Linked DNA regions of Kluyveromyces lactis. The protein of the gene in region 1 interacts with the protein of each later gene in a pairwise test. Links are inferred from orthologs where the notes say so. Each region holds a gene or a part of one and is shown on either strand. Other genes may lie near its edges.

Region 1 (5,269 bases):
CAGATATGAAATTTGTGTGTCATTATTGTGATGCAGAATTCAAAATGAGAGGGTATTTAACTCGCCACATCAAGAAACATGCCATAGAAAAGGCATATCATTGTCCCTTCTGGGATGCATCTCTACCTTCTGAGAAACGTTGTCACTCGACAGGTGGCTTCTCCAGAAGAGATTCTTATAAGACCCATTTGAGATCAAGGCATTTCATTTATCCTGATAATGTTAAGAATGTGGACCGTGTGAACTCTCATGGACATTGCGGCCGTTGTAAAAAACACTTTGATTCGACAAATGAATGGATTGAACATCATATTGAAAATCGTGAATGTGAAGCTATTTTGCCAACTTTCAAGGGTAACCTGAAGAAGAGTAAAAAGTGTGGGAAGTTGAAAATGATCATGACCTCTGATGGACAGTCACGTTTCATTTCCAACCAAGCAACTATCAGCGAAGCCAAGGTGCCTATCAGCAACTTCATGCCAGAAAATAGGAAGAAGTTATCGAGTGAGTATTCTAAACCGGCTTCTGCCTCCCCGCCCATCAAACAAACCATATCTGACCTGGCTTTGGATAACACTTTTGCTCTGGCTTCAATACCACTAAACTACAATGGAAATATCAATGGAAATATCAATGAACATAACGACAATCAGAATTACGGTCATTTCGAAAACCAAGTGTATGGCAACGGTGTCCCATCTCTCGCTCCCTCGAACTCTGTCCCCTTCACAGGACAACCACAACTAATACCTCATTCGGGATCTCAAAATACAGCTACTCATTTACGCAAATGTACACAACCATTCGATGAATTCTCCTCATTGAACAAATCACCAGTTGAAGATGCAGCTTTGGACACCGTACGGTCTATCTCATCCCAATCCTCCCATGAACATACTGTTCTCCATAAAGAAATGAACTTCATATCTACCGATCAAAAGTCACAAATAAATCCTGATTGGGAAGTACTCCCCCTCGACATCGAGCAAGCAGGCATGTCTATGGAAGAAGAAGTGAAATTCACGAATAACTCGAATGAACCTAAGATTAATACTACTTTACAAAGACAAATGAATGAGTACGCTCTGGGTGAGAGGCACTTCAGAGAAACTCAGCAATTCATGAACTTTTTCAATTATACTTACAATTACCAAGAATGATTGAATCTTTTTCCATTCGGCTTTTCAGTGGACCTATGTCCACATTAACATTTTCGGTTTATTTTATCTGGTTACATTTTTTTCTTTTCTTTCGATTTTAGATTCATTTTCACTTCACCATTAATGCAACTGACTGTCAGGGGGGCTATTTTATCCCTGGCCAGCTTTCTAAAATCCTCGCGTCCATATACTTATATCGCTTAAATAAGATGAATTCTTACCTACGTATCATTAATTTTTATTATCAATTCACCGATGTTTTATCTTCTCCCTATCGAATCAAAAAGAAAAAATTCCATTAAATTGAACTTTGCTGCATTGGTTATCGATATGTTATGGTCGATAGTCAATGGTTTTCCTCGTGTTATACCTCAGTTAACTAATTTTGGATACTTGCAATACCTCTTTAGGAAAAGTAATATTGAATCGCCTTAACTCAGAAATTAAAAAAATGATTTTACATGTTGAAACACTTAAAACATGATCTTCAATGTGAAGGGCATCCAGGTTGAACGGCTCATCCAAAACCGGACATAGTTGGAGCAAGCTGAAAAAATCAGCAACAATGTCGGCACCATCAAGTCCTTTTCAACATGGTCAGCAATCATCCCAGCCTCCCTCTAGTGTAGGTGCTTATGATAGTTCACAATTCGATGATCAGTCGTTAGGAAACAGAACTCCCCAGTTTCCATCTTCTTCCAGAGGAGTGTCAGATGGAAATAGACATTTCGGTACTGATGACACTAGGCAAGGCATTAATTCAGAATCACAAATAGAGGCTATGGAAAATGATTCACAAGAAATTACTCCATTAGCCGGGATCAGGCAGAAAAACTTGAATGCCATCAAAAAGGTTGATGATAAAACTGGTGAAACTGTAAGAGAGGCATTCGAACATTTCTTGTCAAATTTCACCGCCCTCAATGATGAAACAGGTGAGATGGAGAAGGTTTATAGAGTCCAAATTGAATATATGAGATGGTACGAATTGAATACCATATACGTTGACTATAAACATTTGGCCGAGGTGGAAGACGGAGCTTTAGCGGTTGCTATTTTACAACAGTATTACAGATTTTTGCCATTCCTTTTATCTGGGCTAAGAAATGTGGTGAAGAAGTACGCTCCTGGATTATTATTAACATCTGACTCTGTACTTCCTTCTCAATCTCAAGAGAATTCTCAGGACCGCTCTTCGCAAAGAATAGATTCATCTTTGCCAACTTCGCAGGCTGCCACCGCAGGAGGCACTGCCCCATCTACCATTGCCACTAATCCAGATCAGGTTGAACGTGTTTTGCAAATCAGTTTCCTGAATCTCCCAACTGTCCATAGAATCAGAGATATTAGGGCTAATAAGATTGGTTCTTTAATGGCTATTTCAGGCACAGTCACGAGAACTTCGGAAATTAGACCAGAATTATACAAAGCCAGTTTTACATGCGAATTGTGTCGAGCTGTTATTGACAATGTGGAACAAGTTTTCAAGTACACTGAACCAACCTCTTGTCCAAATCCAACATGTGAGAACCAATCTTTCTGGTCATTAAACGTGAACAGGTCCAAATTCTTGGATTGGCAAAAGGTAAGAATTCAAGAAAATTCCAATGAAATTCCATCCGGTTCTATGCCAAGAACCTTAGATATTATTCTTCGTGGTGACTGTGTCGAAAGAGCTAAACCAGGTGATAGATGTAAATTTATTGGTACTGAAATTGTCGTTCCAGACGTTAGTCAACTTGGTTTGCCTGGTGTTAAAGCAAGTTCGACTCCAGATTCTAGAGGTATCTCACGGACAACGGAAGGATTGAACTCAGGTATTTCTGGGCTCAAATCATTAGGTGTTAGAGATTTAACTTACAAAATATCGTTTTTGGCATGCCATGTTGAAAATGTTGGTACCAGTTTCAATGGTAGTAGGATTAATGAGGAGGACGCCGATAAGACATCCAAATTTGATTATATTAACTTGAGAAACTATCAAAACTATGAAATGGCGGCAGAAACTGATCAAGAAATTTTCCTAACAAGGCTTGATTCTGACGAAATTAATGAATTAAAAGAGATGGTGAAAGATGAGAATATTTATGACAAACTGGTGAAATCGATTGCACCAGCAGTTTTCGGGCATGAAACCATTAAGAAAGGTATCCTTTTACAAATGCTTAGCGGTGTTCATAAAACTACTGTAGAAGGCATTAAATTGAGAGGTGACATTAATATTTGTATCGTTGGTGATCCGTCCACCTCAAAATCTCAATTCCTAAAATACGTCTGTAACTTCTCTCCAAGAGCCGTTTATACTTCCGGTAAAGCATCTTCAGCGGCTGGTTTGACTGCAGCTGTGGTGAAAGATGAAGAAGGTGGTGATTTCACTATTGAAGCTGGTGCGTTAATGTTGGCAGATAATGGTGTTTGTTGTATCGACGAATTTGACAAGATGGATATCGCAGATCAAGTTGCTATTCATGAAGCCATGGAACAGCAAACCATTTCGATTGCCAAAGCTGGTATTCATGCAACATTAAATGCCAGAACTTCAATTTTGGCTGCCGCTAATCCCGTCGGCGGTAGGTACAATAGGAAACTGACTTTAAGATCTAATTTGAACATGTCTGCACCAATTATGTCCAGATTCGATTTATTCTTTGTCATTCTTGATGATTGCAATGAGAAGATCGATACTGAGCTAGCTTCCCACATCGTAGACTTGCACATGAAGAGGGACTCTGCTATTAATCCACCATTCTCAGCAGAACAATTGAGTCGTTATATCAACTATGCCAAGACTTTCAAGCCGGTAATGACTAAAGAAGCTCGTGACTACCTAGTCAAAAGATATACAGAACTAAGGAAAGACGATGCGCAGGGGTACAGTAAATCTTCGTACCGTATAACTGTCAGACAACTGGAATCATTAATCAGATTAAGTGAAGCTATTGCTCGTGCTAATTGCGTGGATGAAATTGTTCCGAGCTTTGTCGCTGAGGCGTACGATTTGTTGAGACAGAGTATCATCCGTGTTGATGTTGATGACGTTGAAATTGAAGATGACGATAACTCCCCAGAAGAAAGTACGGAGGGTGAGGGCACAATACCTGCCACACAACACTTCGGCGAAACACTTGATACACAATCTCAGTCACCTTCTCAACCACTGAACGCCGACTCCGAAACGGGGGGTGGTCCTGACGTAGAGTCTCATGACAACGCTCATCACACAACACATAAAGTCGCAATATCATATGATAAATACGTGGAAATGATGAATCTAATTGTACGGAAAGTGGTTGACAGAGAAAAGAATGAAGAACCTGAAATGACAAAAACTGAGATAGTAGATTGGTATTTACAACAGAAAGAAAACGACATCAACACCGAAGCAGAATATTGGCAAGAAAGGAAATTGGCATTCAAAGTCATCAAAAGATTGGTAAAGGACAGGGTCTTGATGCAAATACATGGTCAAAACGACGATCTATCTGCCGATGTCGAATCCTCAAATGCCAAGACAGTGTATGTGATACATCCGAACTGTAGTGTTCTAGATGAAATCACCCCTAACCCACCTCAATGAAAACTTACTAACTAGACTAATTCAACTAAATTGACCATTTGCACTATCTTTGAAATTTGTAACCATAAATAGATATTTCACTTAATTCACATTTACATCTCTACTTTCACATTCACTTTCACATCTGTGCCTTGCTTGAATTCTCAAGAGAACGCCGATCACGTTGCAAACTACGCTAATTGTATAAGAGAAACCAGTTCACCTTTTGACGAGGAATGTCACTCTTCGTCACGTTGTAACCATAAGCAATTATCCCGTCGCCCCTTAAGCTTTGTAATTAACGTACAAAACTACATTTTCTGAAAGCGTGGGGAAACAATAGAGAACATATTGCATTAAGAGGCCGGAATAAAAGGTTTAGTACGGAGATTAACATGTGCATAGAGGATTTTCGTTCTAACTTTTAAACGATGGAACATAGATCAAGTAACATAGTAATTGGACCTCATAACTTGACAACAGGGATAAACTATATTACTTGATATCACTTGTCGCACATGGATTCAACAATCGGTCTCTGATAGATTAAGGG
Region 2 (3,612 bases), about 410 kb from region 1:
GTCCTACAACTCAATAGACACTGACACTTCCATACTTACTTCTTCTTCTTCGGAAAGAAACGACGTGAATAAGTTTTGGGAACTCGAAGAACAAAATTCAGAATCAATATATGAGTTCGAGCATGACCAGGTGATATCTTTCTTCTATGTTTCTTCATTGCTAATATCCTGTTTGACTACAGGCGTAACCATTGGTATCATGACATCTTTGTTCAAATCACTCAACGATGATACACAACTAGAAAACGAAACTTCTATTTTGACGATGATATTCATATCATTATCCATATCCTTAATTCTCGGTGCATGGTCTTTGTTATTAATGTTTTCAAGATTCACGTTTGCACCTACTTGGCATTATATTACTGGTGTTGTGATCTTCATTATCATAATCTTTGCAGTATGTTATGGATTTATAGAGTTGATATTGTAAAGCAATTTTATAATAGTACACAAACTTCAAAATGTTGATTTCATTTGGATCTATGATTTCAACTAATGCATTAATTAATTGTATATTAGATGAATAAATGATATATTCAATTCGTACATTGACATGTTTATGAATGGCTTTTCTTCAGTTTCTTTTTCCTTTTTTCGTGTTCCTTTAACCAAGCTTGCTCCCTCTTATCTTCAAGCTTCGCCATTTTTGTAGCTCTTTCCTCTTCTTCAAAGATCTCCATTTCGTTAGCTTCCATATCGTCGTCATCATCTGAATCAAAGTATTTCCTTTTACTACCTTTGTTGAAGATAGACCAAATTTCATCTCTATCGTACGGTTGTGATTTGGAGCCTTGTTCACACTCGTCTAAATCATCATCTTCAATAAAGTCTGAGAGATCTTCGTCATTCTCACTGTCATAATGTTGATCTCCGTGTCTTGCCATAATTTGTTTCTTTTCTTTAAGTTTTAACTTCTTCGCAAGCTTTTCGTTTGGTTGTGCAAAACGGTTGAAAGACTTTACCATCACTTTCGACTTCGGTTCTTTTACAGGTTTAGCATCTTTCGTTGCCGCCTTTGGTTTAGCGGCTTTATCAAATCCGAGTTTCTTCGGGAGCGGCTTCTTGTCTTCCTTTGGTCCTTCCCTAGACTTCTGCTCTGCTCGCTTCATTAATTCATCAAACGATAGTTTCTTGATTGGCTCCCTTTTCGGTACCACGACAGGATACTTTCCGCTTGTGGTATTGACACCAGGTTTTTTCTTATAAATTGGAGCCTCATCCTTCGGCGATGACGCTTTATGCCTGGCCTTAGCAGCAGGTTTAGTCGATGTGGATGATATACCTTGCTTCAACCTACGCGCTTCCTTTAATCTTTGAATAGCCGGGTCAACTTCACGAACGTAATCCTTGGGAAGTAGTTTTTCTTCAGATTGAAGAGATTTAGCTTTATTTTGGTTTGCGGAATGATTCGGTTCATTAATCTTAGTGGTCTGCTTCAACTGCTGTAACTTAGCCAAGAAGCTCATTATTTTGCTATATCTTTGAAGAGAGCAGGAGTACTGGTAGATAGAATATCGATTAATGTATACTCACTGCACCGTAGCAGCGGTTAACAATACAGTCTTGTGCGATGATTGCTTTTGATCCACTGGTACATCAACTTCCATCATGATGCTTATTTTATGTTATGTATTGTTTCCATATTATTACATAGTCATTAGATACGCTACACTAATAGTTCACGTGATCTTGAGATTTATTCTGATTCATATTGAAATGAATCATCGTCATCCGATTGCGATCCAACTTCTTGCAAGAACTGTTCGAACTCATCAGCGATTTCGTTTGGCTCCGTGTTACTTGGTTCAGCGCGGTCTAGAGTTGCTTCACCATAGGTCACAGGTGGATGTTCAACTTGTTCTGTTTCAGATTCTGCATGTTGTAATTCTGGTTCAGGCACGAATCCACCATCCATATTAGAATCAAGAAGGAACCCACCTTGTTCGAAACCGCCCATTTCTGTGTCTTCTCCCGTATATGATTCGTGATCTTCTAGATCGCTATCTCTTTCACCAGAGTAATCTCTGCCGTCTTCATCTGCCACCGCACCATGTTCTTCAACCAATCTACTTTTGATCCTGAGTTTGGTAAGAAGGAGTGACCAGCCGTTCAAAGCCTCAAGCTCTAATTCATGTCTAGCTGCATCATCGTTACATTCTTCGATATTTTCTATTACAGCAACCAATGCGTCGACGTATTCATTCTCGACAACAACGCCGGTGACCTTAGGTTTAACTCTTCGTCCCGATTCGAACTTGAAACCCGTCACTGCTTTTGCAAATGGAACACGTAAGAAGCTTGCAGCTTTAATCGAGTTTGGATTTTCTACGAGACAACACCCTATTGGAATCATCCATGGTTTATAAATGTCAATATTACCGTAGAAATTAGTAGGGATTTTACCATCAGCATCCACTTGCTTAGGAATAACATACTCAGTCTGACCAATGGGGTAAAGCCTCTCTTCATCTTCGTCTTCTTCGACAGGATTCTTTATTTTGTGTGTCAAAAGATGCTTGGCACCCGACTTCAATGCTCTTCCTTGCATGTACCAGTGCCTAGCACTGTAACAAGATATTACATCTTTCCTTGGAAAAACTTTGAGAAGGGAGTTTGATTTATTACGAAGTCGAAGGAAGCCGCACTGCTGAGCACCCGGTTTCAATACCTGGTTTGCTCTCAAATCTTTCTCTAAGACGTAGAACGGATGATTCTTAATGTCTTGTAGGCTGTCTGGGATTCCCTCGTGTTCATTACGCAAATCAAAATATTCATCCTCATAATCATCAATCCTGTTCCTATTACGTTTATTCAAAAACTTTATAATGCTGTTAAACCATTCGTTCAGTTTAGCTTCTCTTGTAATCCTCTTTTTTCGAACTTTATTTTGTAAATGTGCTATGTATCTCCGAGATACATCTTTGCAGCCTTGTTTTCTATCGAAAGCGATGACATATCGCATCATATTGAAGGCTGAATTTATACGACCTATTGGTTCTAGTTTTGATTTATAACGCACTTGTTCAATTATTTCTTGACCAACGATATCGATAGTGATCCATTGTTTCGCAAATTTATCCCATACTTCGCACCAAAATATCGGATACTTTAGGCATTCATTTTCCAAGCTCCAAACAACTCGCTTATTGTAGATCTTACTATCAGTGAAATCGGGTGGTTGAAGGCTATGAATGAGTCTTGCGTTCAATCCACAACCTCTCAGCATGGTGACAAAACCCTGCACACTAATATTGGCTGGTCCACGCATCCTTGTGAAAAACTTTTTGAATGTTTTGAATGTGACACTTTCACACTTGTGCTTCAACACCGAATCCCAATGAACCATATATAAATGATTGAATTCGTACGGTGAAGTTAGTTCTAATTTGAACTTTTTGTTCCAATGTTTCATCAACATACGTAATGCATCGAGCAACTTCCGGGTACTTCTTAATGGCATCTCATCATCCTTTTGGGGATGTAGATTATTGAATATATCGTCAGACACCAGTTTAGCAAGCTTTTTCTGCAACTTCTCGTCGTTACACCATTCGTTCCTCTGATATGAGTGGCACACGAGAGTAAGTAGCATGAACATATGACATGTTT

The links. The genes of interacting proteins can lie anywhere in the genome.
Region 2: the proteins of MCM6 (region 1) and SPT2 interact in a two-hybrid assay, tested with the Saccharomyces cerevisiae proteins (2 studies listed by BioGRID). The link is inferred for Kluyveromyces lactis from reciprocal best matches to the Saccharomyces cerevisiae genes MCM6 and SPT2.

Annotation. Positions count from the first base shown.
Region 1 is NC_006042.1:935,086-940,354, reverse strand, and holds MCM6 (MCM DNA helicase complex subunit MCM6), read left to right. Parts: upstream 1-1,725; coding exon 1,726-4,737; downstream 4,738-5,269. Other genes in the region: KLLA0_F10109g (C2H2-type zinc finger protein), read left to right, coding at 1-1,160. UniProt on the Saccharomyces cerevisiae protein: Acts as a component of the MCM2-7 complex (MCM complex) which is the putative replicative helicase essential for 'once per cell cycle' DNA replication initiation and elongation in eukaryotic cells.
Region 2 is NC_006042.1:1,342,155-1,345,766, reverse strand, and holds SPT2 (Spt2p), read right to left. Parts: upstream 1,470-3,612; coding exon 561-1,469; downstream 1-560. Other genes in the region: VTC5 (Vtc5p), read left to right, coding at 1-433; RAD4 (Rad4p), read right to left, coding at 1,700-3,612. UniProt on the Saccharomyces cerevisiae protein: Histone chaperone that stabilizes pre-existing histone tetramers and regulates replication-independent histone exchange on chromatin.